Linked DNA regions of Drosophila melanogaster. The protein of the gene in region 1 interacts with the protein of each later gene in a pairwise test. Each region holds a gene or a part of one and is shown on either strand. Other genes may lie near its edges.

What was found.
Region 2: the proteins of CstF64 (region 1) and CG12229 interact in a two-hybrid assay, tested with the Drosophila melanogaster proteins (one large-scale study listed by BioGRID).
Region 3: the proteins of CstF64 (region 1) and Boot interact in a two-hybrid assay, tested with the Drosophila melanogaster proteins (one large-scale study listed by BioGRID).
Region 4: the proteins of CstF64 (region 1) and CG14563 interact in a two-hybrid assay, tested with the Drosophila melanogaster proteins (one large-scale study listed by BioGRID).

Annotation. Positions count from the first base shown.
Region 1 is NT_033777.3:18,655,732-18,663,720, forward strand, and holds CstF64 (cleavage stimulation factor 64 kD subunit), read left to right. Parts: upstream 1-3,886; 5' UTR 3,887-3,973; coding exon 3,974-4,110; intron 4,111-4,173; coding exon 4,174-5,296; 3' UTR 5,297-5,395; downstream 5,396-7,989. Other genes in the region: CG31224 (uncharacterized protein), read right to left, coding at 1-217, 434-1,252; Cpsf73 (cleavage and polyadenylation specificity factor 73), read right to left, coding at 5,428-5,517, 5,581-6,023, 6,085-7,376, 7,439-7,600, 7,657-7,724.
Region 2 is NT_037436.4:17,432,322-17,440,622, forward strand, and holds CG12229 (uncharacterized protein), read right to left. Parts: upstream 4,111-8,301; 5' UTR 4,057-4,110; coding exon of another isoform or gene 4,003-4,056; 5' UTR 3,927-4,002; coding exon 2,211-3,926; 3' UTR 2,151-2,210; downstream 1-2,150. Other genes in the region: frc (fringe connection), read right to left, coding at 1-654; CG32176 (uncharacterized protein), read left to right, coding at 1,616-1,816, 1,868-2,012, 2,073-2,135, 4,003-4,056, 4,192-5,222, 5,286-5,537.
Region 3 is NT_033778.4:9,089,218-9,097,687, forward strand, and holds Boot (bootlegger), read right to left. Parts: upstream 5,442-8,470; 5' UTR 5,315-5,441; coding exon 5,275-5,314; intron 5,211-5,274; coding exon 4,243-5,210; intron 4,087-4,242; coding exon 3,991-4,086; 3' UTR 3,289-3,990; downstream 1-3,288. Other genes in the region: Dbp45A (DEAD box protein 45A), read left to right, coding at 1-7, 74-227, 291-558; Nadk2 (NAD kinase 2, mitochondrial), read right to left, coding at 701-804, 866-1,268, 1,326-1,532, 1,594-1,834, 2,190-2,436, 2,513-2,552; Ctu1 (cytosolic thiouridylase subunit 1), read right to left, coding at 8,094-8,470.
Region 4 is NT_037436.4:21,838,779-21,845,679, forward strand, and holds CG14563 (uncharacterized protein), read right to left. Parts: upstream 3,609-6,901; 5' UTR 3,578-3,608; coding exon 3,280-3,577; intron 3,200-3,279; coding exon 3,129-3,199; 3' UTR 3,030-3,128; downstream 1-3,029. Other genes in the region: P5CDh1 (delta-1-Pyrroline-5-carboxylate dehydrogenase 1), read right to left, coding at 1-134, 283-756, 888-952.

The DNA.
Region 1 (7,989 bases):
GTGAAGTTGAAGCCGCTGATGTCGTCGTTGGTGCCAGGGCTAGGTTGGGTTGCATGGCCACGCTTTGGGACTGTGGCTGCTGTTTGTTTTGGTTGTGCTGAGATCGTATTTGACTAATGGCGGCTCCATAGGCGGGAGGTGGTTTCTGGTGCGATTGCTGCTGGGTCTGCGGTGGAACAACCGTCTGCTGTTGCTGCTGCTGTTGCTGCGTAAATAGCTGTAAAGAAATTCGAGTTGCTTAAGAACGGAATTCAATTCGAAAATAAATACTAAATTTATATAAGCATAAAGGGTACAGTGGGTATACATTTTAATTTTGTTTCTTAATACTTTTCGTAAATAATATTACCCCTTTCTTTTCAAAGGTGTACTGCATTAAATCTTGATTGCACCCTTTAAGACGGGACAAATAACTTCTGGGACTCGGACTCACCTGCAACGGCGGAGGTGGGGGCAAAGCTGTGGCGTAGCTGAACTTCAGAGCAGGCTGATGCTGCGAATGTTGCTGCTGTTGCTGCGGGGACTGCTGCTGGTGTGGAAAGTGAGCCTGCTGTTGATGGCTGGCGAGGAAGTGCTGCTGAGGCACCTGCGGAATCACCAGCGCGGCTGTTGAGGTGGTGACACCACGCCCAAAGCCCGACGTCTGCGGCTGCTGCTGCTGCTGGTTGAAGCGATAATCCGGAGTGACCTGCGCTGGCTGGTACAAAGTGGACACGCTGCTCGTGGTGGGATGTGCGGATGTGCTGGCTCGCGCCTCAGTTGTGGGCGGTGAGCATTTCAGTGCTTTCATCGGTGGATTGCTCGGTTTGCTGCTGCTGAGGCTGCTGCTGTTGCTTGCTGAGGTGGAGGTGGGTGTGGAGCTGGTTGTCGAAGAGGCGGCTCCGTTGGAGCAGGCCGCCACGAGGGAGGAGGATAGCGGTGGTGGTGCTGGTGGCAGCACAGGCGCTGTTGCTGCTGATATGGTATTGACCACGACTGGTTTGACATCGCCGCCAGAAGGGGGTGATAAGACGGCCGGTTTCTCATCAGCACTGGCTTCGCCGCCGCTGGATCCACCTCCTCCAGATCCTCCTGTCAACATGGCGGCAGCGAGAACGCTGCCCATGCTGTTGCCACCGTTCCCAACGATCGTCATCTGCACCAGCGCCTTGATCACCTGCTCCTTGGGATGGGTCTCCAAGTGATCGGAGAGATTCATGCCCGCATGCAGGTACAATGTGCACACGGGGCATTGGACACTGTTGTCGACCATGATGACGATTTTAGATTGTTCTATGTGTGGCTCCTGCCTACTCCTACTCCTGCTCACTGGCTGCTCCTGCTCTCTGGGAGCCTGGCTTCTAGCTTTCTAGTGCGACGGATGACTGGCGTGGTTGCCCTTCAGAGTCATAAAACAGCGTATCTCCTTGGCTTGGCGTCCATCTTGCTCAATCCTCTGATTCGACGCGGGTGAGCTGCATTGGAGAATATAAAGAATGTCAGAATGTTGGTGCCAGAAATTACTGTACCAGTCCCTGGGCACATTCTGCGCTCCGATATCAACGTCTTCGGTGAAACGATACCCGATATGCGAAGAATGCGCCGTCCGGCGATCCAAGTGATCAAGTATCCACGGAATGCGTAATGTTTAATCTTAACAAACGCGTCTTTTTACAAAACCAATCCAAATTTATAAAGCTGATAATTTAATAATAAACCCTACTTTTCTTATAGAAAGGTGATTTGGACTGGAAGAACCCTTCGCACATCGTGCATCCTAACTGTTGAAAGTAACTCAATTAAAACCACAAATGTTTTACTATCGGGGGTAGCACAAATAATCAGTAAAAAAACGTTCGTTGGAAGTTTCTTGTAGTGAGTAATTTCTTTAAAAGCCAACAAAATAAAAGCATGATAAAAATAAAATTGTTTCAACAGCGAGTGCATTTCTAATATGATGATTATAATGATTTTGGTTTACCAGTAATTATTTTGTTCTTTAGAAAGCTACCAAATAAGTACAATTAAACATACAAGGCATATTTAATAATTGAGGATCGCAAAGGATCAAAATGAGAGAACAAGAGTCAATAAACTTTTCTAGCACAAAGCAGACCCAACCTCAACACAGTCACCCTTAAAGTCGATTCCACATTTTCGAAATCAGAGGTGCCATTTTAAATCGATTCTATTGATTTAGTAAAGCCATGTCTTATATTCGAATCCGTTCATATTAACCACATTCTCTGAGTAGAGCAACATAAGAATTCTGATTAGAAGGTCCTGTTTGGGCAATGGAAATGGCGGATTGGAATGCCGGTTGCAGATGGGTGAGACAACTTCTGGAGCAGCTTTTTTCTCTCGGGGAGCCAGAGCAGCAGGAAGAAACGGAATCAGAATCGGAAAAAAAGAGGCAACGACCCAGACCCAGCCTGCTGACGAGTTATTGGCCGTTCATCTGGTTTGCCTTTTGCTGCTTGCCTTTTGCGATAACTTTTGCTTTTATTTATAGTCTGTCTGCAGACCAACATTCACTTGTTTCTTTTTTGGGATTTGGCCATCTCTGCAAGGGTGGCTCTTTGTTTTGGGGGCGAAGGACAATGCGAGGGCTGCACATAAACAGCGGCAAACAAATGTCTACGTCTGTTGCTATTGATTTTTCCTTTGCCAAAGGTTACACACACCACGCACACACAACACCCACATGCACACATGCACACACAGACTGTCGAAAAATTGAGGAGCACACGGTGCGTAAATGCATTATGATTTATTCCAGTATCCCAGTTTGCAGCGACAACAATCGCCAGCCAACCTTTTTTCCAGTGTGCACACACGCGCGCTTGTTTGTGTGCGTTAATGTCGCTGATCTTGCCACTTATTGTACGATTTTTTTCTGCTGATTATTATTCACATAATTACAGACACACACAATTTAAAAATGCACATATTTCCGCTTTTGTTCACCAGCCATTGCCATCGATTTCGTTTTCGTTTCGTCCATGGAATGGAATGACACTTCCACAAAGAGAGGACGCCAGCTAATTACCAGTATCGATCGAGAGAGAGAGCGGCTGAGAGCGTATCCTTGGAAATGTAAAGAGCGTGGTGCACCTGCGGCCGCTTAAAGATGAAGAGGAAGTGGAGTTGGAGGAGGAACTGGAACAGGAGGACCAGGAGCCAGGAGGCTCTCTTCTCTTCTTTTTCTCGTTCAATGACACAGAAATCTTTCCTCTCGTCTTCCGCTTTGTGCGCTCCTTCTTCCAATATACAAGCGAGCTTTTTATATGTGCGAGTGCGACTGCGAGGCCATCGCTGCGTTTATCTCCCTCTGTCTGTGTGTGTGTGCGTTTGTGTGTGTTGGAGTGCGTGTGGCTACACACAAAGTAATATTTTCAAGCACGTTTTTCATGCACTTCGAGCCGTTTTTTGTCTATTGCCGCATAGAAAACGAATAAACGCCACTTTCATCTACAATTTGGTGTACAATTCGTGCATATTGGTGCACTTTTCACTATCAAAAACCGTTTAAATCGTTTTCACCTTGCGACAAGAAAAATTACAACACCAGGCGTTGGAGTGCTGCAAAACGTATGCGGGCTGCGGGAACTTACCAGCACTAGCAGTGGTGGTATTTTTGGCTAAGCAGGGCATTTAGCTATTTTCTTGCTAAATACTACGTTTCTAAGTGATGGCAATGGATGAGAATCCCAAAAATTAGACCAATACTGTTAATTATTTTCTCAGGTGTTTAGATAAGAAAATAAAATAAAATGGCTTGCGTATCTGTTATTACACTTTGTTTAATATTTTGCGTCCCATACCGCTTTATTTCCCAAAAAGTATATGAAAAGTATGAATCCCTGGTAAGGGAAATTATTCAAGGAAGAAGAAGAAACAGCAAGCCGGAACGCAGGGAATTTTTTAGACAAGTTTGTCAACGTTTGCTAAGATTTTGTCGAGTTTGTGCAGTAAATAATAACAAACAACAGATATGGCAGATAAGGCGCAGGAACAAAGTATAATGGACAAGTCCATGCGGTCGGTTTTTGTGGGGAACATACCCTACGAGGCCACCGAGGAGAAGCTAAAGGAGATTTTCAGCGAAGTGGGCCCGGTCTTGTCACTGAAGTGAGTTCCCTACTTAGAGCCATGCAATATCTCACTGTAAACCTCCTATTCTCAATCCCCCAGACTGGTCTTTGATCGGGAAAGTGGCAAACCCAAGGGCTTTGGCTTCTGCGAGTACAAGGACCAGGAGACGGCTTTAAGTGCCATGCGGAATCTGAATGGCTATGAGATCGGCGGCAGAACACTGCGAGTGGACAACGCGTGTACGGAGAAGTCGCGCATGGAGATGCAGCAGCTGCTTCAGGGACCCCAGGTGGAGAATCCCTATGGCGAGCCCTGCGAACCAGAGGATGCTCCCGAGCTCATCACCAAAACGGTGGCTTCCTTGCCGCCGGAGCAAATGTACGAGCTGATGAAGCAGATGAAGCTCTGCATCGTGAGCAATCCATCGGAGGCACGCCAGATGCTAATGCTCAATCCTCAGTTGGCGTACGCTTTGCTCCAGGCCATGGTGGTTATGAGGATCGTGGACCCTCAGCAGGCGCTCGGGATGCTCTTCAAGGCCAACCAAATGCCCCCCGTCTTGGGCGGCAATCCGCACCAGGGGCCGGGGAATCACACCATGATGGGTCAGCAACAGGTTCCGCAACAGCAGGTGCAGATCCCGCAGCAACAGCAACAGGCTCCCCAGCCACCAATGCCCGTTCCCGGACCTGGCTTCCCGGCCAATGTCCATCCGAACGATATCGATTTGCGCATGGTGCCGGGTGGACCCATGCCGATGGATCCCAGGATGATGGGCCGTGGCATGGACCAGGATTTGCGAGCTTCTCTACCCAATCCAGTGCCACCGCCGCTGATGGATCCCCGAGCTCGTGCCCAGATGCCCCCACAGCAGCAGCAGGGCGTTCCGCAGGCGCCACCGGCCCCCTATCCCAGCGATCCGCGCCAGCGTCCCATGGATCCCAGGTTAAGGGCAGGACCTGGTCCTCAGCAGCAGGCGCCGCCACAAGGAATCCCCCAAGCGCCGCCACCGACACAACAACAGCAGGCGGCCGCTCAGCAGTTGCAGAGCAGACTAGGCGCCCATGGAGTCCTGCCCTCGGATGCCTCCGACCAGGAGAAGGCTGCCCTCATCATGCAGGTACTGCAGCTGTCCGACGAACAGATTGCGCAGCTGCCCTCCGAGCAACGGGTCAGTATTGTCATGCTCAAAGAGCAGATTGCGAAGAGTACCCAGCGCTGAAACTACTCTGGCTGAAACAAATGAAAAATCACCATTTCGCTCATGCATACTATAGTACTTTCAACATTGAATCAATTAATAAAAAGAACATTTCAACACAAGGAGATTTATTAAGCGGAATAGAATGGTTTTCAAAGAGCGGAGACTAGGGTCTGGTGTAACTTCTGAACCGTCGTATTGAGCATTTGTCGCAGCACATCATCCTCGGCACAGCTGATGGCCTGGAAAGATTGTAGATTAACGATATTTTTCGATTTTAAAAAGCACCTTCGACGAACACTCACCAGGGTTTCCAGATTTATTTCCGCACGTTTACCGCTCACCGTCACTGGCAGCAGATCGCCCTCGAACATTTTTGGCACGCAGTTGTCGCCGAAGGTGTCCTGTAGCGTCTCGATTAGGCACTCCCGAAAGCGCGAGTCCTCTGACTTGGTTTGCTTTGTGGCACCCTTCAGATTTGTTCCGCCCAACTCCGATTGCATGATGCAGGCAAGAACGGCATCGGCGTACACATCATTCACATGCGTCGCTTGCCACTCCATCACAATGATTTTCTGCTCCACAGTTAGCTCGATGCAGCCGAACACGCGCAGCTTTCGCTCCGCCTCCAGCACCTCAACGCATCCGGCTCCAATGCGATCCAGCAGTAGCTCTAGAGTGCTCAGCGAGCTGCCCCAGGGAATCGACTGGCGTTGGGTTACAACAGACATGCTCATATCCGTGTATTCTGTGGGAATTATTTAAATGAATCGACATTTTTACAAAGAAACTAACTAACTATTACTTACTGCCCAGATCAGAAGGAGCCAAGAGGTGGTACTTAAAGTCGCGCTTAACCAGAACACCTGAGAGTTTGCTTCCCACCTCCGAGTTCTTGGCTGCGAGGCTTCCCATCACCTTGGCGGTTTTCTCGCCACGGAAATAAAGATCCACGGCATGTGTGTTTCGCGGGTTGTAGAATTTTATATCCGTGCTTGCATCTGCTTCGTATTCCCGCTGCAGGGCCAACTTCAGACGCGACATCTCGTTCTGCTCGCCGTGGACGAGCACGACATGCGTTGGCTTTAGTAGGCGGATGAATTCACTGGTCTGCTGGTAGTCCGTGTGAGCCGAAAACGATATGTAGTCGACGGACATGTTGAGCGGCAGCTTCTGGCCCGACAGTGTGGTGATCTCCTCCGGCTCGGAGAGAACGGCTTTGGCCAAAGTGCCCTCCACGCAGTAACCGGCTATAATCACTCCGTTCTTGGGATCTGTGCACCAGCTCTCGAAGAGCTCTCGCGACAATCCCGACTGCATCATACCCGGCGACGCCATGATTACGCAGGGTCCGATATCCTCGAAGTGATCGATACCCTTCAGGTTGGAAATGTGGCGGAAAACGAAGGGATTGTTCACAGCTATCTGTCGTCGAATTCGATCGTTCATAGCATTGATGTACGTCTGGTAGACAGCCATGCACTTCTTGGCCAAAGAGGAGGCATAGTAGATGGGAATCTCGTGCAGATCCGGGTTCTGCGACCAGAATTCATCCAGAATAAGTAGCAGTTCTTGGGCACGGCCCAAAGCAAATACTGGAATTAAGCATCTCCCGCCTTGCTGAACAATTTTCTGCACCAGCGAGGTAAATCGATTCTCTCGATCCTCTCTTTTCTCGTGAATGTGAGTGCCGTAGGTGGACTCTGTGATAAGAACATCCGGCTTCATCGGTGGCACTTCGGCAGCCATCAAATGTCGATCCTCCTGGCGCGAAAAGTCACCAGTATACAAGATCTTGATGCCAGCAATCTCGATCATGAACATGGCGGCACCCAAAACATGACCAGCAATATAGGCACAAAAGCGTACGCCCATCACATCGCGCTCCTCGTGGAAATTGATCGTCTCGATCTTCTCCATGGAGGCCTCCAGATCGGCTTCCGTGTATAGCATCTGTTCGGTGGATATGTTACTGATCTTGATGTAATCGGACAGCATCCATCGGTAAATGGCTTTCGTGGCATGGGTCATAAAGCAGCGGCCTTTAAAGCTGGTCTTCATGAGAAACCAAGGCAAGGCACCGCAGTGATCCAAGTGGAAACTGATAAATATAAGCATTCACCATTAAAAGTTCAATGCCCATTTAATCGCCGCAGTACTTACTGTGATATAAACAGCAGATCAATCTCATCCGCCTCTATTAGATCTACGTAGGGCAGGGCATCCATGCCGGACAATCCCGGATGGATTCCGCAGTCCAGCATTATCTTCTTGCCCTTAAATTCCAACATGATGCAGGAGCGTCCCACTTCCTGGCCAGCACCACTGAAATATAAGCGTTACCCTTGAGCTTCTATCTGGTTTAAATCAAGATTCCTTACAGTGGCTTGATCTGCAGCAGGTCGCTTTCCTCGTCTGGCATGCGTGCATCACCTGTTGCCTGCGTCATGATGTCTAAAATAATGTAATCAATAACAAACTTTTTTACAAATCGCCGGCAACAAAACGCTGTGCACGGCAGTGTGACCAAAGTTTGATGACTGCCGGTATGGACCTGTTCACACAAGGGCTGGAAAAGAACATTGTACTTTTTCCTTTTACATTAACATTAAGTTATTAGGACAATTTAATTTTCTCGTAAACATTTGTTCATTAAGTAGGGCCTAGATTAAATCTGGCTATTAATCTTTCCCGATACTCTCAACTCATTCCAC
Region 2 (8,301 bases), on another chromosome or scaffold:
CAAGGCGTTAGTGATCATCACATAGATGTAGCCCCTCATGTTGAAGGACAGATCATCAGAGGCGGCCAGCAGCGCTCCACCGATCATTGCGTATACGCTGACCTGAACCGCATTCGAAGGTCGCAGTCCCAGGATCTTGAGCTCCAGCAGCATGGTCATCAGGATAGAGAAGCGTCGTAGGGCTGCGAACATGGGCAGACTCAAGGTTTTTGTGCCACCCAGTCCAAACATCATGTTTCCCAGAAATATCAGTGGCAGCGGAAAGATCTTGGCGAAGGTATTCCTCTGCAGAGGGGGAAAGTTCACCAATTTCAGGCGCTTGCCCATGCCCAGGACCACAATGCTAGCAGTAAGTTGCCCGAGGCTGAGGAACAGGAACGAGGGGAAGTGGTAGGAGGTAAGCACCGTCTTGTTTACCACCGTAATCATGAAGGAGGACAAGCCATAGAACAAGGCGCTCCCGATCTTCTTGACGAACAACGCCGAGTCCTCGCGTTCCCGGTGACTCAGCTCCTTCGAACCGGATCCATCGAGCAGCGATGACCGATCCGCCGATCCGCCCATCTTCTCCTCCAGCTCCCTGTTTCCGACATCGCTCTCCGCCAGGAGCGGCTGCAAGTCCAGAGTTGTGTTGCCGCCGCGCGACATACTCATCGTATTTGCGGGAGTGCTGGTAGTTGAATTAAATCACTTTCGTCACTATCGTTTGTTCGGCGGCGACTATCTTGCGGCGCGCACATTTGCTCACTTTCTTCGGGGCCACTTTGGGGCCGGGGAGGAAGCGTTCCCACAGCACATTAACGAGTATTTGCTATTTTTACCGACGCGAAATCGCAGCCATTCTCCCCGGAACATATGTTCAGTGTGGCCGCAGCAGAGTTGTCAAAACACGCTCCCCAATGAAATAACCTAAATGTGCCATCACTGTTACTTAACAGTTTCTGTTACTTTTCTAGCGGCATGTCAAAAAAACAAAAATATAGAAAATGCTAAATATATATTGGACTAATGTGTTTAAATGTAACTTACACTAGTAACAGATCCCCATTAATAAAAGCCAAACTCTAAAATTCTGCCACAAGTACTATTTCTCACGTAACACCTTACTAACGGATTTCACATGATATCTACGACAAGAAACTGTTTGCTGATATAAAATTGCTATCACCGCTTTCCGTAAACACTTTTACACTGATGGATTACAAGTTCAATTAATACATCAACTTACCTTAACAATTTTAAGACAACTAACACTCCCACAATTTAATTCAACCTACACCGCTTGATAATCAGCTGTTCTGTACAAAAAACAATAACACTGTTAACAACAGCGCACAGTGGATAATACAGTCCTAAAGGCAATATACACCATTGTACATTTTTAATTATTGATTCTATGTGCCATTCCCTAGTATACGAAATAATTTTTATTAAATACATTTTCGTAATACTGCTCGTTTTTCTTTGCGTTTTGAATTTTAAAATAGAGCCATTCACACTAATCCCACAAAATTGTTGCCTTCGTCCCACTGTCCACAAGGTATAAATAGTAGTGGCAACGCTGCCCGAAAGACCGAAATTACTTGGTTTTTATTTTGACAACAAATTGGATAAAATGAGTGGCTTGAAGGCGAAAAAATCCAGCAAGGGCGACCAAATCCCCAAGCCCATTAGCATTAAGAAGGAGAAGATCGAGGAGGAACGAAAGCTGCATCCCATGTCCCATTACATAGACGACCGCCTGGAATTGGTGAAACAGATATTTGGGACCTTAAAACCGAAAACCATTTTGAACCTAGCCCCAGAGTTTCTAAAGGTGTGTTATAGTTCTTTTTATAAAAAGCTATTTATCAATAATTTCACGCAGAAAACGCCACTAGACGAAATCGAGGAACTTTGTCTGGAGGAGTTACTCTGCTTGTCTACGAAGCGGCTAAAATCCATAATAGAAAACACCAAATGTCCCACAGACACTGAAAGCTCCGAAGATTCCGATGTGGAGCACAAAGAAGGTATGTTGAATCACTTCCTTGCCCTATAAACCCACCATTCATTATAAAGTCTCATTTCAGAACACATCTCGCTAGAGGAGATATCATCCGACAGCGACATCGGAGGTCAGGAATCCCGAAAAAGTGAGTTGGTGGCATAAGATACATTTAATTTAGAGTTTATTATCTGTGTAATCTGCACAACTGCACGCCGTAAAGTTATCCACCGTACTTAAACTTCTCGCAGGCAAAGAGCGGCGACACGTAAAATGCCCGCAGGATGCAAACATCCTCTCCTATGCCGATGACCACGTTATCCTTATCCTCTTTGCCCACCTCCAGGGTAACTACAAAGTCTCCAACCTCCAAGCAGCCCTTCTTCCTCATAAAGTCCACTCCAAACTCAATCGGACTGTAGCTGCACTCGTTGAGATCCTTGGTGTAAAGAACCGGGTGCATGTTACGGCGCAAATGAAGCGCACGAGCGAGCTCCACCTTGCAGGTAATGGTTTCCGCATCATCTGTCTCCTCCAGCGGCACCATCACATATACTGGGCAATAGATCTCAATACGCGAAAGGGCCACGCTGGCGGTCTCGCAAGTGGTGAACAAAAATATGGCTTGACACTCAATCGAGCTAATTGTGCGGATAATAAAATTCACAATGGTCTGGTATGAGGTTAGGATGCTCTTCAGTACCATCTTATTCTGGACCGCGCCAACACGATAATCTTTTATGGGCATCAGCTTTTTGACTATCAGCGGATATTTGTTGCACCATGGACTTTTTTGGATGTGAATAGCGTCGACCTTCCACAGGAAATCGTGCAACTCAAATCGCTTAAAATCACTGCAACGCTCCAGCGGAACAGTGCCAATGACTGGCTTCTTCTGGCACTGCGAAATCGGAAGCACGTCCTCCATAATGTAGTTATATACGCAACAGTTTACGTTGAACATGTCGGGTATCCAAATGTAGTCCACAAGCTTAATGATGCCTAGCAAATCAAGCATGTTACTTCGCACATACTCGAAATCTATCATTCCGATCAACTTAAGGTTGAAGTCCGAGTTCAAGGTCTGCCGCACGGCACGAAGAAAGCTCTTGCATCGTATCTTGGGCAGAACCACATAGTTGGCATTCAAAGACGCGGCCATCTCAAGGTCCTTCATGTACAGATCGGGATATAGGTCCGGATCGAGAGCGTGGCACTGTCTAGGAAGCTCTATAAAGTCGTAGGAGGCTACCAGACCGGCATCTATGATCATCACGGTTAGTGCTTCCCGCAGGGTCTTCACCACCTTACCTCTAACTTCACGTCCGATCATCACAATATCGCCCAACTGAACGGAGGCGAGATAACACCGCAGATTGATTACGTACACTATTTCTTTAAAGCCTTTGTAGCGGTAGGACTCATCCGTGGTGAGTGTGACCACCCCACCTCGTGCCAGCATCACGGTGCAGTTGTTCCTCAGTCTCCCAACGCGACAGCACTCGCCGTTAATCTCCAGAGCCAAGCCAGTTGTCAGACGTAGTTCCCTCTCTGCAGAATGCGCCGATATCGCAATGTTCATGGTGTCCAAAATGGCTTTCAGTTCATCGGGCTTGTTGCCCACCGTATCCACGTGAAAGGTGTAGGTTCCATTTTCCAGCATACGTCGCAGCTCGTCGTGAGTGGTTTCCGTCACCAGCTTGGCCACAAGACCCAAATGATAGTATCTCTTCCGTTTTCGCCGTCTGGCGTGCTTCTCGTGAGCCTCGCATGCCGCTTTGAAATCCTTTAAACGCTGCTCCAGGTCATGTTGTCCATTAAGACGCACCGTAAACTTCTCCAGACGATTCTCGTCTTCCGGCTGCTCCTCCTCCTCCCCCTGATCCTCACCTGTCTGACTGTCTAGTTGCGGCGTTACTTCTTTCTGGTTGATCGGCATCCTGGCGTGCAGTTAATTTATGTATACTTTAGCACAATTTGTAATGCAATCTGTGTCAATCTTGTCTGATTTTCAGCCAAGAAGAAGCTTAGATCCAAGAAAACGAACAATGGGAATGAAAACAAAGAGTGTAAGTACAAACTTTACGAATGTATAAAAACTAATCGAAATCGACCGAAAGTATGATAACAACAGCCATCTGAGACTGTGCGCCCGTTTGACGGCAAATTTGTTCAGGTTACTAAGGTATTCTTTTCTCCCACAGCGGGTGGTCAAATGAGCGTGCTGGAACTGTTGGAACTTCAGGCACGTGCCAGGGCCATCCGCTCCCAACTGGCAATGGAGCCAATCACCAAAATAGAGGTCAAGTCAGATGATGATATTGACGAAGTACCAGTGGAGAAAGTACAGCGAAAGGAAAAGGATAAACGCAGCACTAAAAAAACGGATTCGAGCAAGCGCAAATCGCAGGAATCAGCTAGACCAACATCTCCATCCCAGCCTGATAGCAGCAGCAAGGAGCAGGAAGCGCCCCGCAAAAGAATCAAGATCAAAAGAAACTATAGGCGGACTTCAAAGTCGCCAGAAAAGGAAGTCAAACCTCCAACATCTACTACTTCATCCGAAACTTTGGTTGCATCTAACGATTTAAACAAACTGCCACGTTCCAAATCACGTTCAGCCTCACCAGATGTGATACCTATACAAACGGAACCCGAAACACTGCTGATCAGCGACAGTACGGATGATGAGGCCACCAAAAAGAAGACAACTGAAACAACTACAACTAAGCAAGTCGAATCGGACCCACCAGCCCCAGTCGTTGAGAGCGAGCCAGAGGAGGGAGAAGTGCGCGATGAACCCGAAGAGCCAGCTAAGGTAGTTGACCCAGCCAATCCAGATGAGCCAACAGAGTCAGAAGCAGCAGCTATTTCGAAAGAACTGGAAAGTAATAAGCCAGAAGTATCGGATACGTCTGATAAGCTAGATAAAACAGGGGATAAGGAACCACCGTCGGAAGAAGCTCTCCCAGCTAATCCCCCTGCAGAGCCAAAGAAGCCGAGTGCAGCCGAGCCAACTGCCCTTGACGACGAAGATCAAAACGACGACGTCATTTCAATAGGTGGGGATCTAGAAATGATTGAGGAAATGACGAAGGATGACGATTCACCTTGGGTAAGCATTAAAAGCGAGAAAAAGGAGAAGATGCAGGATCCTGAGGAACTGGACAACGATGTCATATCCCTGGACACAAGCGAGGATGAACGCGACAAACTACAGCAGGCAGACTCCGAGGTATTTTTAAATGCTCCTCAAAACAGTACCTTTTTTTCAACACAATAATCCTTTTGTTTGTAGTCCTGGCGTTCACGCTACATGAAGAGCTCCAAGGTCAGCCAGGTGCTGGCCGAATCGCGTTTGGGAAAACGCGTCCGTGACAAGCTCAAGAAATCGAAGCGCACCAAAGTCACCGCCGGCGAGGAGCAGGCCAAGGTTGAAAAGCCGGATTCATTTACTTCCAAGCATGAAGACGGATCCATAGAGCAATACCAGGAGCTTCTGCAGCACCGACAGCGTAAAACTTCAAACAGTAGCAAGGGGGATAAATAAGTTTAGCCGCTAAGGGCGGGATTTATTGAAAAGTCGCGTACTGACGCACGGCCCTAGTTTATATGGCATATAAAAAGTCAAATAAAAATTTGCTGTCCTCGGGGGCGGAAGGCAACAAAAAATTTGAATATATCGTGCTAAGCGGATATTTAATTTCTTATTCGTCTTTTCGATACTCTATTCGTGTAGAGTAAGTATACGTTGTGTAGAAGTAGTTGCTTTTTATAAATATAATTTTAAGCCATCGTTTTTAGTTTGAGTAACAAGCCGTGTAAGGGTTGAAAAAGCCGTGTAACGCAGTTTTTGGATTTAGTATTTATTTAAATTGAATTCATATATATTACTTAAAAAGATTTATTTATGTATTCGATGCGTCGACATGTTTATTTGTAGTTTTCAGCTATGTTTTGTAGTTTAAAAGAAAATGCGATAACTGTGCTTTTTTGTTTAAGAAGAGTTTGCGTGAGCTGAGCAGCCTGGAATAGGCAGTTAAACGAGCCGCACGAAGGTTACGCTTGTGCATTGATATTACTTGTCATAAACAAGCTAAAAAATCATTGGGTACGCATTTAAATGGAAGGGTTTTGGTTTAACCCAGTTTCGGCTTCCCACCCGTTTTTCTATACATGTAAGGGATTCAGCTCCACCCGCCGCTTTATCATCGACTTTGCTCAATTTCTAATCATGCGGTTGCAGAACATGTCCACACCACTCTACACTTGAGTCTACTCCCACCACTTTTCACTGTTCTCCTTGCTATTCCACTCGACTCGATTTGTTAGCCACCCCAGTTCGGTGTTACTGGTCTGGTCACTGGACTATATCTCAATTATGCTGCTGGGGGGCGGCGGTTGAAGCGTGTTGCACCATAAACGATGATTGTTTTATCAGAGACTCGGGCGTGTTGATAAACTGTTTTAGCAACAACAACAAAAAATGGTCCGGAGAGTTGTTCTCTGAGTGTCATTTTTATATTTGGCTTATCTAATACGCATGTCCTGTGAGCAGAGGGTAGGATTCGTTTACTTATATGGATGTGTGCTTTTACTGCGAATCCATCAAGTGGGCGCGCAGTATACATACATATAAATAAATATGACATGGGTATAGACCAAATGTTTGAAAATTGTTGTATTAAAACTTAAAATAAATGCATATTTAATTTTTTAGATTGTAGAGGTTACAAGCCAAATTTAGATGCTTAGACCAAACAAGCGGAAACAAAAATGAATTTTCGATTGAAATGCCCCACGTTGGGCGCCAAATAATGTACGTAGTTAGTGGATAAGACTAGCACATGTTTTGCCAAGCTCTACCACCCTCTCCCCTACTAGACCGTTTGGGTGTCTCTCCTTTTAGTCCGTAGAACGCCCCCGCGGCGAGAAGTAAACAAAATAGCAACAGAGCGTTGCCCGCTGGAGGTTGGGGTTGGCTCTGGGGGTGGTTTCTCTCGCGGGCTCTCGCTCTCTTTCGAGTGCGCGGGTGTGGGTGACTGCATCCTTTGGCGGCAGGCTGGCAATTGGGAAAACCGAAAAGCCGAATCAGTCTACAGAAAACGCGTACGTGGTGCAGAAGTAGCCGCGGGTGGCTACCACAGCGTCGTTTTGGACTTGTCGGCATGATAAAATAAGTGTAACGCCCCGTACAAGTTCTGTAAGTTTCCAGCTGCAACAAAATCAAACCAAATCCATGAGAAGCAAATGAAAGCCAAACAAATGAAAATAGCAATCTGCCGATTTACTGTGTCCAAAGTGTTTGAAATAAGTGACAAAACCCGAGGATTTGTAAGCCAATAACAATCAAAAAGTGGTGGCAACACAAACATATTAAATCAAGGATAACCAAGCTTATTTTGTATTTTTATAACCATAAACGCTGTGCTAAAAAAACCCGATAAGTGCTTTAAGCTCTAACAAACTAATTAAGTATTAAATAATTTAAAATTTTGATACTAGCCCAAACATGCCTTATTCAAGGAGTTTTCTTTCGATGCGCGCATATTATCGCAAAACGTTACACTTAGGATTAAAGATGCTCTCTCTGGCCGGAGACATTGTGAGTCCGAGCTACGAAAACTGTAACCCAACATAATCCATGTACCGGATATAAGATTATTGAACTATGCCCGCTTGCATTGGTCACCTAAAAATTTAAAAAATTACAATTGGCTTAAAAGAAATACAAATCAAAATTATTTCGAATTGGCAAATTAAAAATGTGTTTGCTTAATGCTTCCGAACGCTTAAAATCCCCCCCTACATACCATGTGTGCAGTCAACGTTAATTTCCAGTTCCAAATTACCACATAAATGATAATAAATCTAAAAACATTTCATTACAAAGATATATGGAAACTAAAAGACTGCATTTTTATCATTTTCCCCTTAACTATACCTCTTCATATGCATGTATGTATAGAACACATATAATGACTTCATACGAATTATTTCATTCGGATTTCATTTATAAATAGTATAGTAATATAAGTGAAATACTTCTCAGATATTTGCTTTTTTACATTTAACATATATTGAATTTCATATTTATTAAGATTATAGGCTTATGGTCGGATATTATTTACTCTTAAAGTAATTGCTTATCCCAACGATTCAATAATATAACTAAAGGTTTTCAAAATCAGGGCTTACTTTAAATTTATGTTTATTATTTTTAAATTTTCATAGGCCACGGGCGTTGATTTACTGTACACAGTTTCCAATAAGTATGCTATATTGACAAACCAGTTTTTAATGAGAATGTGCGT
Region 3 (8,470 bases), on another chromosome or scaffold:
ATCGATCGTAAGTTTTGTTGGAATTAGTGGCACACAAAATAACTATCTTTAATATATATATTATATAAATTAGAGCGCATGGTGGAGAGAATCTTTATGCAAGTAAATGTCACGCGCCGTGAATCAGAGATGCAATTAGATAATAACGATTTCGACGAGCGAGCGCAAAACTATAGGCGAAAGACGTGGATTATGGAGGGGAAGGACCCCGACCAAATGGAAGCTTTGTAAGCAGTGGAAAATACGCATATTCGTTGTATTTTATAACAATTTTTGTATCCCATCCACAGGTATCGTAAAAAACAGAAGGATAAACTAAGGGAAATACGCCGAAAGAGAAAACTGCAGCACGCAGAGCCGGCAGCCAGCGAAGAGGGCAAAGCTCTCCTACAGGACGAGCGTTTTAAATCTGTAGACAGTGCGAGGTTTGAGAAGAAGGGAAAAGGACGAAGTAGAGCCACCCAAGAAGATACCCCAACCAAGCCACTGAAAAGGCTTAACAAAGAAAAACCAGTTGCCCAAAAGGGCAGAGCAGATGTCAAGAAAGATAAAGCGTGATGTTTAAATATACTTTTATAAAATAACAAAATAACTTTTGAGCTTACACTGCTAAGTAGTTGCAAAATGCTTACTTAAATAATTTCAAAAATTCAGACATGCTAGAGCGAGATGACCAGGCACTAGGGGCGCATCACTGGATTCAGTCTAAAGCGATTGTCAGAAGGGCATCTTCTGGGTGAACCTCTAGCAAAGCCTTGGCGCCATCGTTGAAGGGGAACGAAATGCTGCCATCTATAACCAGGTCTGTGGAGATGTAATTGTCATAGTTATATCTTGTTTCGTATTTGAATGTCCAACTACTCACTGGCATCGATGCAATGCGACTTGACAAACACGGTCTGCACAAAATCGCGCTCCTTAAAAGTCTTTGGCGAAGGCCACACGCCCACGCAGATTTGCTCCCGGATGGAATAGCAGAGGCGCGGGTCGTCTGGCGCGAAGAGCAGGCCTTGGTTGTACCGCTGGGCGATCTCCTCTGCATTTTGTCGTAGCATCATCACGTTCTTTGAATCGCCGTCGGGCAGGGAACGCAACAGGTCGTCCACATCTCGGCTTGTGATGCGATTGATGCTGGTGTGCCAGGATGTTGAGCCCGTGCCCGTGCTGACGCACAGTCCGGAGCATTTGGTCTTGTTCACCACGTCCTGGTGGTCCAGCACCAGTTGCAAGTGGGACACTCGGGCCGATAGATGCTCGCCAATAAATACCTATGTAGACAGCTTGTAAGATCTAAGCAATCCAGCATAGAATCCTAATTGTCTTACCTCGTTCAAAGCCAAGTAAGGAAGAACACGTTTCATCTTGGCCTTGTACTTGTAGGCCATGTCCTGGTCCAGCATTTCGGGTGCGGTGCTGACCTGCTCCATCTTGACCTCCGTGTGGCGGAAAAGGTCAGTCGGCTCCGGAATATTGCCGTTGCTACCAAGCATCGTAGTCCGCACCCTCGAGCGATGCATCCACTTGAAATCTCCCTGCCAGGAATTTGAATATTTAATGAATGAATTGTGAGAAGTGGCTCGTTCCAGGACTTACGCTCTTGATGCGGGAAACGGCGTCGGCCGGATTATCCGAGTAGTGCTTGGGCAGCATGAGTCGGCCCTCCGAGTGAAGCGGATCCGAGTTGAAGCCCACGATCGGCGTCTTCTGCTGGCTGAGCGCGAAGAGCGGACTGGCGCGTCCGGCGGAGAGAAGGAAAGTGCCATCGCCGCCCACCGGCACGATGACGTCCGCCCAGCTCATGACGTCCTTGCTCAACGAGCTTCTAAATTCAAGTCTGCTCGTTTAGTAAAGTCAACACACAGGGTGAGGTGCCGCATGGGAGACACGAAGTGTGTGAAGATGGTGGAGATCAATTGTAGCGGGTAGTAGTCACAAATCGAAGATACATATAGGTATAGTATGTGACGAAGTGACGAGGCACGCAACACAACATTGGTGGCAGTGATTGGAGGCCTAAAGGTGTGGATGTCTGGGTACATGTCCTCATAGAACTAATCTCATTCAAAGCAATGAAATCATTTCCATGGCTTGAGTACATTTACTCATTTACTTGAGTACATGTACCTATGGCCTCCGTTGCTTTGAGCTGCACTCCGATCACTGAATTGGAGGACTACATGGGTACGCACCTGCTGGACAACTTCACCTCGCAGCCGACGTCCTGGAAGCTCTGCACGACCCGCCGCTCGAAGTCCTTGTGCACCTTGTGCAGATGGAGGACCATCTCCACGTCGGTGCCCCGGTCACGGAGCTTTTGCTGGAGCTGATCCGGAGACAGTTCCGGGTGGCGTAGCTGCTCGAACTCATAGCGGGACAGCTTGGTGACGACCAGGGCCCGCTTTAGCTTGAAGTTGGTCGGCGTATATTTAGCGTACTCTGTTCAAAATGGCAATTGCAAGCGAAAGACCTCGTTAGTCCGATCAAATGTGGGTCCTCGTCACGGGAAATTTACTCAAACCCTCGGGAATAATCTTCCTGCCGTTTTGAAGCATCCTACGGCCGAAATCGATGTGTAACTACTAGGTTTTAATGGAAATTTCCCGGAACAGCTGATAAACAACACAGTGCAAGTGGAAAGTATTTTCCCTCTAAAACTTTTAATGAAACAATGTTATGTATTTGGTTTGTACCAATCATGTTTTTCGTAGATTTTCCTAATGGTTTGACATACTGCAGTGAGCTTTAAATACCATTATTAAAGATAAGTAAAATCAAGCTATCCAGTATGTAAAATTTGTTTGTTTATAATCAATATAATTATAGCATAACAAAGTTTAGTGACACACACTTTGAGATCTGCGTTCAATACTTGTTGAAAAGTTGGTTAAGTTAAGTTAATCCGGAAACCAAAAAGGATATTTAAGATAATATCCACTTTCTGAGCGAATAATTTTGTCAGCCAGTGTGCGTGGGGAAAGTTCATCGTGACAAAGAATTTGGCGAAAAAGTGTTTACTGATAATCTTCGGCTTGGTCGGCGTCAGATGCGATTAAGGCTGTCAAGGCGAGCCTACGGATCTGGTGATATGGTATTAGTTTACTCCAGCACATGCCTAAGGCTGATAATGGAGGCGGCAACGAAAACACAGATAGCTAGGGTGTGTAAAACACCTCAAGTTGTGCCATTTCGGCTCCGGAAACCCACACATCCTTACCTTTGGAAAACTGTTGGAGCAACTGCTTCGACTTCAACATGCTTGGCACTACCGAAGACGAACAACGCACATTTAGGGTACTGTGTTCAGTTTATTTCGTATTCGTTAAGAAAATCGTTTGGGAAAAAGACTACGCTATAAAAGTAACCAAATGCAAAGAATCGATGGCTCTTTCTTCAGTTGGCCACTTTCGAATGCTTTTGCACAAACAACAAAATAACTGCGTGTTCGTTCTACACTCGACAAAGCACAAAACATAGGTTGAGGTTAGTGTTTAGCACACTATCCTAAGTTACGATCACTACTAACTATCCCGCTATCCGATCCCGATGATCATTTTCACGTCCGCTCTCTGGGTGCTTGGCAGATTAACTGATTATTACTCTGTTCGTCTCCGGCACATCAGTTATGTATGTATATAAAATCGCCTTCGCTGTAAATTTATCGCCGTTTGTTTCTATTTTCGTCCGCTTTCGCTTCTCACATCTCGTTCGTCCGTGTGTACTTCTTGTTGTGCATTACTGATAAGAGGCCCAGCCTGTTCTTATCAGCCGAAATATGTGTTATATATATAAAAAAAAGAGGCAGAAAGCGACTATTCACCCCTGCCATTCACTGGGCATCGTCGAAATCGTCTTCTTCTTGCCTGCGTCGACTCGCAATTCGCACAGAAAGTGCCCGCCAATCCGGCGAACTTAATTTAAACATGGGCTGCTGAGTACTTAGAAATAACAGAAGTCAGATAGATCCCTTAAATGCAACTTGATGTCGGTTTTCTAGTTAAAACGTTGCAGTTGGTCCCTTCCTCCTTCACGTTCAGGCAATGCGACACTTCGGGACTCCTCCATCGGTCCGTTTATCCAGTCGATGTTCTTAAATAAGAAAACCGTAAACTTATTTAAAAATACAAAGTTAATATGAATCATTTCTTGAAGCTTAATGCCTTTTTTCTTACACGTGCAGTTTGTAAGGCTTTCTTTCAAATCTCTATTGTGTGGTATTAGATTACACATGATTTCGAATATTACCTTGAAGATGTCACACGAGTCTCCTTGGTTGTTTTGCTGGGCAACGCTCTTGAGCAAGAGCATCACGTTGTGGGCCATTTTACTGATTTTCATGCTCTCGGAATCAACTGCTGCGGGTTTCAGGTCAGTCTGCGGCTTATTAATATCCTGCGCTTCTCCAGCAAACACATTCATCGAGTTGTCCGTGTAACGCGTGATGGTTTCACAAGGCAAATGGTTCTTGACACGATTATCCGGAATGTGGGACACCGAATCGATTAAAGAGCCGATCGAGGTGGAGCCGGTCCAGTCGTAGTGGTCAGGTCCCATGTAGTTGCGGCTGCTACGCGGATCAGTGGGTGCCTGGTGAGTATACTGGAAATGTTTATTTACATCAATGTCAAGGTCAGTTTGTTGATTTGAATGGATTTCTTGACTGCTGAAGGCATTGTAGGCGTAGCGCAGGACCTCCTTCTTGGCAATCTGGGGCTGGTGCTGATGACGATGGAATTCATTCCGTTCATGGTGATTATACTGACGATTGCGTCTCTTGTTAAAATTATTACGAAATCGAGAGCCTTCTCTCAGATCAAGGCGCGACTTAACGTGACCACGTGCCTGGTCACTGAGCCCCAGTTGAGCCGCCGCTGATGGCCGGTTGACGTTGTTACCATTCATGCGCCACGTGGCTGAGCCTTGTGAGGCCTCCGAGCTTTGAGACTCCGTCTCGCAGTACACCTTATCAAAGTCATTAATCTCAAAGTTGATTTGCGAAACATTGGAATCGAACTCGGTTAGAATTGATTGGCCATTTGCTAGCACGGAACCCTGGAAATCTTCAACTTCAACATCGGTATCGCCACCCTGATCCTGGTCCTTGTAGGTTTGCAAGTGCCCCAGCTGGCGATTATCGCCCTTGGGGGCTGCATTACTCGAGTATCGTGGTGGTATTCTGGGTTTTGGTACTACGCATTGCTCGAAGTACTCATCTGTCAGATAAAAAAAACGAATATTTTAAGGACGATCACAAATTGAGCAGACATTTTTACGTACCCAAAGACAGAATGACTCCGGATGCATTGAAATCCGTCATCGTGCACTCGCAATTAAGCCTAAAATATAGAAACAAAAAAAGCTTGGCGCCGCGTCAGTCTGGTCCGCAAGAAAAACAGTTAGAACCACCGCGTTTGTAGAGCTGCAAGTGCTGCAATCGAATATTACCACCCGGATAAATCGAAGTAAAACTTCTTTGCACTGGTCAGCTTTTGAGTTTTTACACCCGTTACTCGTAGTGTAAAATAGTATACAAAAGCATATTCTTGATCAGGATCAATAGCCAAGTCGAGCACCTTTGCCACACCCCTCCTTATAATTACAAAACGCTCAAAACACACTTATGAACAATTTTTAATTTTTTCTCATTTTATTTAGCAGTATCTATCATGATAAATTTTCGTGTTCGCATATCCACTAGCTGAGTAAGAGTATTTTCTAGTCGGGTAGTATTTGTCTAAGATCTATTCATTTTATTTAAAGTTTATTAAACATAAAATATTATTAGTGTTTTATTTGTGTGAATTCTTTTTCTTTGTTTATTTTCTTCTTTATTAAATTAAATCAAGTATTGACTTAAGTTTAATATGGGGCAATAACTTGTATGTATTTACTTAAATCGTTCAATGCGAACTTGTTTTGGTAAATCAGTTTTTCATAACAGTGCGCCACCTTGAAAACAGACCACAAACGCAGGCGTTAGGCGTTTCAGTATTCTTGAAAGTACAAGCAGCGTGCACACTGCACCACCAATCGCCGCCAACTTCACTGGCTTCTCTTCACTTTTTTAAAGAACGTGGAGCGAACATCACCGCATTGGAAACGATTAAAAAAATATATATAAAAATGTAAGTATTATAGATATGATAGGCGACCGGTGAGTGCAGCGATTATAACTGCAAATCGAGTTCTACTGGCTTGTTTGCAGAACTCAATGTTGCAAGATTAATTTGTGATGCGCAGGGAAATGCACTTCACCGATTGCAATTCAAATTGCAGTCACGTGGTCGAGATTCCATTGCAGTCTCAACAAATTAAAAATTAAAAAAGAACGTTAGCTAAACGATGCGTTTGCTTATATTGCAGGTGAATCTGTGATTACTAGGCGCTGCGTTAAAGCGCTGGCATTTGTGAATTGGTAAGTTTCATCATTGTATTTATTTATATTTTTGTTAAATAATATTAATATTTTCATGCGAGCATGAGTCGCTGGTGTAAAGAAACTACTACTTTAGCTAGTGCTTTTTACTTGCTCGCAGAAAAACGTGCTTTGCCCAAGCATAACCCAAATTTAAAAAACCCGAGTTTGCGGTGCATATTATTTTCGTGAAGCTGACAGTTTAAACCCTCTTAACTAGCTAAGTTTAGTATTTGCGAATATGGCTAACCCAGCATTCCATTTTCAGAAACAAAATGGCCTCTTATGCTCAACACGTGTTTTCTGGCAGAGTTGGAGAGAGACAGACGGTAAGAATTCGTTCCAAATCCCAAATTAGCCCTTCTCAGTTATCTGATGATTTATAATTCTATTTTCTGACATCTCTTATGAACCGTTGTGATTCAAATCAGTTATAACTAATTCTGACACATTCGACTCTCAACTAAATATAATTTTTACTTGTGGCCGTGACTTATGAGAACTCATCTATTACTTGCAGATCGGTCTTTCGATTTGGATTCGGAATATAAATGAGGTTATCAGCGTGAAATGGTAATTATTCTCTTCATTTATGAAAACTACTTAAAATTTCGTGATGAATGACCCTATCATCATCTTTCGACTGAAAATCATTTTGATGCTATACTAGTTTTCACTGAATTTTAAACGCTTTAAAAAAACCTGTTAAAAAGATTGTTACATTTGAATAACACAAATATATTTTAATTTCAGTTCATTGCAACGTCAATATCATGTATCAAACGTGGCTCACTAACACAGTGAAAAAGGTAATAATTCGGTTTAAGATAATAAAAAAATTTAGTTTAAATTTTATGTGTAAATTGGACAATTAATTGTGTTGTGATGAATGAAACTTACACCATCTTTCGACTGAAAAATGTTATGAAGCTATACGAGTTTTTACTGAAACCCCTTCATTTTATTATTTTTGTGTTTTATAAGTTTTTTAGAAAATCGGTTGCTGCTCTTTATAACCATTTAATTTTTGTCATTTTGCAGTGTTCAAGAAAACCACCTTTGATTGTCGCGTCATATGCCCAAACAAGGATCTCTCCTTTGAAAAGGTAAATTATACTCTAGAACGAAATAATATGTAAATGATGCTTTTAAAATTTCTGACATCTCTAATGAACCGTTGTGATTCAAATTTTTCTAATATAATTAACTGATCATTTTAAAATCGCTTAAACGATTGAGTTATATTTGAATAACTACTTATTTGTATTGTTTTTGATTTTTTTTTTTTTTTTACAGATGTGAAACATGCGTAGCAAAATGAATCCGTCAATGGTTCATTTATAAATTCCAATATCTAAAAAGGTTAGTACGAAAAGAGATTCTGTTTAGCGGAAATGAAGATTTCAATGATGATCACTTAAACCATTCACAGACACCATATAAAGGTCAAGCGCTGGCAATCTTCTTCAATATTCTTTTGGAGATAGAGCGTCTTGTTTGACTGGTTATGGGCCCTGGTTAAAAACTTGGCACTGAGCTTCATAATGCATTCTAGTATTAATGAAATTAGCCTGCGAAACCAAACTTATCGTTCCTGTTGTTATCTTTTCAGGTTGGCAACCTTGGATGAACACAATTTGTATCTTGTGGAATCACGAATAAATAAAATTCATATGTGTTCTTAAAAATCGTTTTTTACTAAGTTTGCTCGCTCCCGCAATGCTAGTTCCTGGTTCTGCTTGGCAATCATTCGCTCGCCCTTCGACTTCTTGCCTATGCCCAGCTTCGGCAATCCTCTATTTAGACCCTCGAGAAGGACGCACGCCTTGCACGGCTGCTGTGAGGAAACGAAGCCACATCGGGTGCATGTGCCACGCTCGGGCTTCTTTACCGTGTCCTTGAAGCGAAGCTGTTCGCCAGAGTAGATGATGTCCATTATAACCGATGGTCGCACTTTCTCCAAATCCTTGAGAAACGCTCGAGCGTGGCCGCGATACGCATTGGGGGCGAATACGCACTCCGTTGAGAAGTAGACCAGCTTTTTGTAGTGGGCGTACA
Region 4 (6,901 bases), on another chromosome or scaffold:
CCGTAAAGTTAAAGGGGCTGACAGCGGCGATGAAGCCATCAATGCCACGATAGCGCAAGGAGTTCTTCGTGACCTTTATGTTCTCGCTGATGGGCTGGTATTTAGTGACCTCCTTCAGAAAATAGGCATTCATTCTGCGAAATAGAATTTGTATTTATATTGAATATCATAATGAGGAAATGATTGCTTCTTCCATTGGGAAAATCCTTTAAAAAAAATCGATTGGAACAGATTGTGTTCTGGTTCTGCATGTTCCTTGTAATAAATTATGGGGACACTCACCGTATAAAGTCGATAAGCTCCGCTGCTGAATCGATTTCCGCCTGAATCGCCGTCTTTGACTGACCCAGCATGGTGGCGGCGTTGAGATCCTGGCGGTACGTCGTTGCCATTAGGTCCGCTGCCTTCTCCCAGATCTTCAGACGGTCTGCAATCGACACACGGTCCCACTTGGGCTGTGTTTCCACCGCCGTTTTGATGGCCTTCTCGATAAGCTTCTTGTCGGCGTAGTAGAAGCTGGCCAGCTTGTGTTGGTGGTCATGGGGCATGACCTGGTATCGAACCTCCGGCGTCTTGTACTCCTTGCCGCCGATCACGATGGGGATGTCTTCGCAACTCGAGGCCGTGCCCTTTAGAGCCTGCTCGAGGGCCTTACGCTCCTTAGAGTCCTTGAGATATCCCAGGATTGGCTCATTGGCGATCGGGAAGTCCTTCAGTTTAAGGTCCGGTATAACGGAACCCAGACAGCGTGTCGAACTGATAAAAATGAAGCGCGTTCAATGTAATAAAACTAATAAACTACTAGCTAGTGTATGCATAATATGGTTACTTATACATATTGTGTCAGTTGTAAATTATGAAATATAAGGATATAACCTCAGGCATACCTTTTCAACAAGCTCTGCTGAAGACTAGAGCATCTGGAGGAGGAACTTCGCATCATTCGCAACATCTTGTCGGGATTTGGGGCCTGTCTCGTTCGCTGCCGGATTATATAAGCGGTCTCTCAGATTCTTCGTCGTCGTCGGCTCGTACCACCTAGAATTTTGCTATCTGAGCGATAGGCCCGCGAAAAGAGCAAACGTTTGATTAGTATTCATTTATCAGCAACCTTGGCAATTCACTGGGGGTCCGCGTCAAGTCGCGTGATTTTGATAACCAGCCAAACGTGAAGCTCCCGACGACGACACACCCCCCAGATAAGGCGCAAAACAGAAACACTGCGAACCAAAAGAATGTGCACTTGCAAGAAATTCTAGAAGGTGCACTAACTTGGGCAGTTGGTCAACCGAGCGGATGACTGATTTATTTTCAGTTTACTTTATTATCGATAACCACGTTCCCTTTCCCATGCTCACACACGCACTCACACACAAGCGCACTCAGAGCGCTTTTTGCACAAGCAGAAGCTAAAATTTGACGAGCATCAGCTGTTCTGTCTACGAAGCGCACAGTGGGATGAGAGCGTGTCAAAGCTGGCACAATCTAGTTAATCGCAAATTAGTAAATTTATGAATGCTGTTTTATTTGTCGAGTGCCTTGAACGCTGGACTAAAAAATAAAAATTATCTTAAAAACATTTTACACTATGTTTAGAACAAGGCATTGCTACCCAATTCGTGTGCACTGTTCGTTTAAAAAGTGAATGTTTATTTGGCTCAGCTTGTGTCTCGATGAAAATTTAACCAACTGCCCAAAAAGCGAGATTGCAATCTTGTAATTTAAATTGCGTGCTGTTGTCTCTTTCCACTGTGCGGTGGCTACGGAAATTTCCCATTGCCGAAACCAGAAAGATGAAGAGAAGGTGGCTGAAGGGGATGTGGGCAGAAGTACATACGTATGTAGTTCTTGTGTTTTTTAACTGACGCTGCCTTGATTTATGAAATTAAGCGGCACAAATGCTGGGGAAGGGGTGCAATAGCAGCGAAAATGGTAGAGAATCGAAAAAACACCCCACGGTGCGCGTGAGCAGCCCCTGTGAGAGGGATAGAGATGGCTGATAGAGTGGGAGAGGAAGAGTGCGGGAGAAAGGTGGCGAATATGTGGAACAAGCTCTTTTAACGTAAGCATACTTTGGCTATTTGTCTTCCTCTTTCCACTCACTGCTTGTTAAGTGCTTAATAATATGTAACGATGAACTAAAGACATTGATATTAATGCGAAAGGAGAGGAAGTTTATGGAAACGCAGGGAGCGGGAACACCGAGAAATTGCCTTTGGAGGCCAAATGTAAAACAAATTTATTTACTGCTCAGCTGTAGATACACAAGCACACACACAGGCGCAATAGAATGCAGTCGGTTGGCTTTGTTTTTTTGCTTTTCTTATTGGCCCCAATTACGCAATACAATGTTTTTATGCCGCCTATTGGCCTCCGCCTTTTAAGTCGCCGTCCATCCCATTTGAACCTGCAATTCGACTATTCGGCGCTTTTCCACTGATTTCGGGCTTACTTTGTGTGAGTTTCAGGCGACGGCGGCGGAATTCGGCGAGAGCACGAAGTGTGGTGTGCCTTTGTTTTGTGTTTTGCGAGACTATTGGTCGGTCGGTCGAATTTGGACTTGGCTAACGGCCGGGAACTATCGGCAGACCGATACAATTTTGCCCCCCTTACTATCGTGCACCTTACAACACTGTCCATAGCTATCGATAAGGCGCCAAGAATGCACATGGATCAAACTTTGTCGATTTGTTATCACGAAGCAAAAAATATTTTTCGGTATATGGTTATATATGGGATCACAGCCTCAAGGCTTTTTTATAACTATTAAAACGACCAGATATGCGTACGTAGTTATTGACTCAAAGCTAAAAGCTGAGAAAAGGATCTAATGATCCCACAAAGAGTCATGGCAGCATAAACTTGGCGGAACATACATAGGGTCAAATGTGCTAAAAGACATACAAATTATCACATCAGTTCCGGGAGCTAATAAAATTATGGTGGTATACATGAAGGCACTAGTTAGGTGTACAATTTTTTACCAGGTACACTAGTTTTGGACACGTCATAAGAATAAGTCTTGACTTATAGAACATAAATATCATATTTATTAGCACTAACACACTTATGGGGTAGGATGACTTAACCGTATACCTATCACTAAACTATATCAGGTTTCGCGCTTCCTAGCCGTAGTATCCGCTTCCACCCGCACTGGCTGTTGCGAATCCTCCACTGCTGCTGGCGTAGGCCACGTCTAGAGGAAGAAACAGGTCCAAAACACTTGTAGATTACTTGTGTGCTAGGCACCGAGGTGCTATCAGTCGGGAAACTCACTCATGCCATTGCCGCCGTAGGGATATCCTCCATAGGGGTATCCGTACTGCCCGTATCCACCGTACATCGAGTACGGGTTGTAGCCGGGATACGAGTAGTACGGATATCCGCCGTAGCTGTAGGGGTATCCGTACATGCCGCTGCCGTATATGTTCCCGTATCCCGATCCCGCTCCCGCATTAGCGCCGCCGTAATAGGGATAACCGTAGTATTGGCTCGCGGATGGCTGCAGGAAAATGGCGACCAGGAGCAAACCGAACCAACAACATGGAGAGCGGCTCGACTGTTTCACTGACATGATTTTTCTGGCCATGTTTATCGTGTGTAATCCTCGAACGTTGACTGAATGCAAAAACCCCGGCATTAACTGATTTTATAGAGTTTGCCGCCGAATGTTTGCAATTTTAAAGCATAAAACGCTTTTTTAATGGAGCTTAATCGGGCGCCCATCAGCGGCTGCTCGGTTTGCTCGTTCGTGCGTAACCCAGCCGGCGTATACGCAATATTTTTAAATCCCAATATAAACGCTCTGCAAACGTATGTATTTAGTGCAAGTTAACAACAAGAGAACAAAACAAAACAAAACTATTTGGCTCTTTTTTGCCTATCGCCGCGATTACTCATCCCACATCTCGTCTGATTTGTGATTGCCGTTTTGCTATCAATTTAAATTAGTCAGTCAGCCGCTTTTTTTGCCAGGGGTTCACATTTATTCTGCGTAAACACAGTCATTAACCTTAAAATTGGTTGATGGTCCGCCTAGTCATGTGCGATGCCAGTGGTGCTTTCCACTTCTTTGAGGTTCATTGCCGACCTGGACCGTGGTCAATGCTCATTCACGCCCTTCGGATGAGGTCAACCGTAATAACTCCGATTCTGATAATTGGAATCGTATTGGTTTTCGGATTTTCCACTGCGATCAGCTTGGTCGTTGGCCGAGAGTTCAGTTTGAGGGACTTTTGGCTACAGAATTTTGGCCTTGGTGGTCATGCATCGACGCTGAAACTATTCCACAATGCGAATCTGTCGGTTTGGAAAGTGATACTTGAGAACTGCATAATGGAAAGTTCAATGTACTTATAGATTAATTTATTCTTCTTGGCTATGAAAGTAGGCTTACAACTTAGTAATTTAGTGATGTTAGATACGGTGGGTTTACACATCTCGCATAGTAAATAAGCTTTTAAAAATGTGAAAAACGCAAGTCGTGGGCAATTGCAAGGAATTGTTCTCAATACACTTTGTAGCTCTTGCATATGTGCCCGAAAAGTATACAACATGCCATTCATAAATATTTAAGGCCTTTCCCGTACCCAACTCATTCGTGTTCGTGTAGGTGTGTGTCATTACACTGGCCAACAATGCAAAATGTCACAATTGGAATTGTCCCGCCTTTGGGTTCCCATGCAGCTGACGTTTGCCTTCCGCCGCCCGCTCACTCACTCTCTCTCTCTCTCACTCTCTCTGCCGGGGTGGTTTCTGACTCTCTCTTCTTTGCCGCACTACTCCAGGTAGCTCAGGTAGGTTTGAGCCTCGTAGGTGTTGCATTCCCGCTGACCTCCAGTAGTTGAGTGAGTTGCTCCGGCCGGATGCCGACTACGCATGCTCAAGCCTGGATGTGCACGGATTTCGGGACACCCTATATTAAAGTAGCCTCAGTTGTTTGAGCCGAGTGACTTGCTCATAAATTCGGCTTGGTAATTTGTGTACTATTTAAAAGGGTTTCATAAAAAGATTGTAATTGAGATCTTGTGCAAATAAATTAAGCTTAAAACTATTATCAAATAATAATATATTTTACAATGACCCAAAATAATATTACATATAATGCATAGTGAACACGCCTTATATTCTTAAAAAAAATGTGTGTCTGTAAGTTTTATTTATAAGAAGGAAATTATGGTTATATTACGACTTTGAAATTCTATCTCTCGACATTAAAAATGCCTCCTTGAAAGTTAACATTCTAGAAAGGGTACGCTTCCCCAGTCCCCAATTTAAGGACTTAATTTTCCAAACCCCAAACGAGCAATTTTCATATTAAAAAGTTTGTCTATGCCGAGCCTAACTCCCGTCCCCACTTTCCGATGGAAAAATTGAAAGCTATCCCTTACAAAACTTCTACAAACTTTTCATTCATTTACCCTCATACTTTCGCATCATATTTGGGACAGTAAAATGCTAATTGTTTGTCCGAAACGAAAGAAACCTCCTTGTAGCCATCAATTTTTCAGCATTCTTACGTGTAATTAATTAAAAATTTGATGCAGCAGCAACTTTTGTTTGCTGTCGAAATTACAGCAGCAACAAAAAGCTAATTAAAACTTAAAATCATATAGGAGTGCAACTGGAGCCGTGCCGTGACCCACAGAGATCGCCCACTCGAGAGTCTCACTCACTGGCAGGAGAAACTCACTCAAAGCGCCGAATTGCAACTGAAGTGTTACGCATACGCCGCGTGGGACCGAGCGAGATGCCATCCTGCTGTGAGTGAAAGCCGGTCGAAAAAATAAAGAAAAAATCAATTAAAATGCACTCGAGTGCACCGCGCTTCTGCACTCATTTTTTGGGTTTAGCAAATTTGTAAGAAATTTTTAAACGAAAATAAGCGAGGCAGAGAGTGCTTTCTCCCTTTCTCGCCATATCTACATCTCGCTTGCTCCTTCCCTTTCGCTGCGTGTGTGTGTGTGCGTGACTGTGTGTGTGAGAGGCGGGGGGATATTTCGATTCAGTTATTTGTGCAATTTCGCTCAGTCAAGTTGTGTGTTCCTTGTGCAGTGTGTGCGCCTGGCATCCATCAATCAGCCGACCGAGTTTGACGAAAGGAGATAAGATACCCAGAAATTACCCAACAAATTTACAAGATTCCTCCAGCCTTCCCCCGCCTGGCAACCGATATCAGCGGATTAAGTGCATAATCCTTCAACAGCAAAACGCCGCCAAAGACAGTGAGGTAAAGAGATTGAGAGCGGGACAGCGACCACGGGAAATAACAGTTTCGACAGCTAATAACACTCGCTCTGTGCCTGTGCGTGTTTTGCCTCTGTGTTGGTGACTGTACTTTTTGGCGCCCAGCAACAAACACTAAGAAAGCAAACAAACGGAAAACATTCAAATTAATTAACAACATTTTACCGCAGCGAAATTTAATTTAAACTCTGCGCCACCAAATTGACAGGTGAGTTCGGACTGCTGAACAAATATTCGAAAACTATGTATTTATAATGATTTATTTGAAATTACGAGCAGTTCTTGTTGCCATGTTATGTTAATGGGTATTTGATTGATATTCATTGGCCGATATATTAATTATGCCACATTTATGGGATATCGATATTATCTGGCACTCTATGCAGATGAATTTGAACAATTACCAATTTTAATACATTTATTTCATGAAATAATTCTGGAACAGAAGTCACCCATTAAAGTAAGATTACTTCTTTAATCTTTTTAGAGATTTTCATTTTAAAAAATGTTATTAATGCAAAAAGTAATATCCATATAAAGCAATTCCAAAAAAATTTGAACAACATCGACTTTTCTCGTGCAACGTCGTAATGCTATTTGTTCCTTTCGGGGCAAGACAATGGTCCAGACACAAGGACACAGACAATACAAT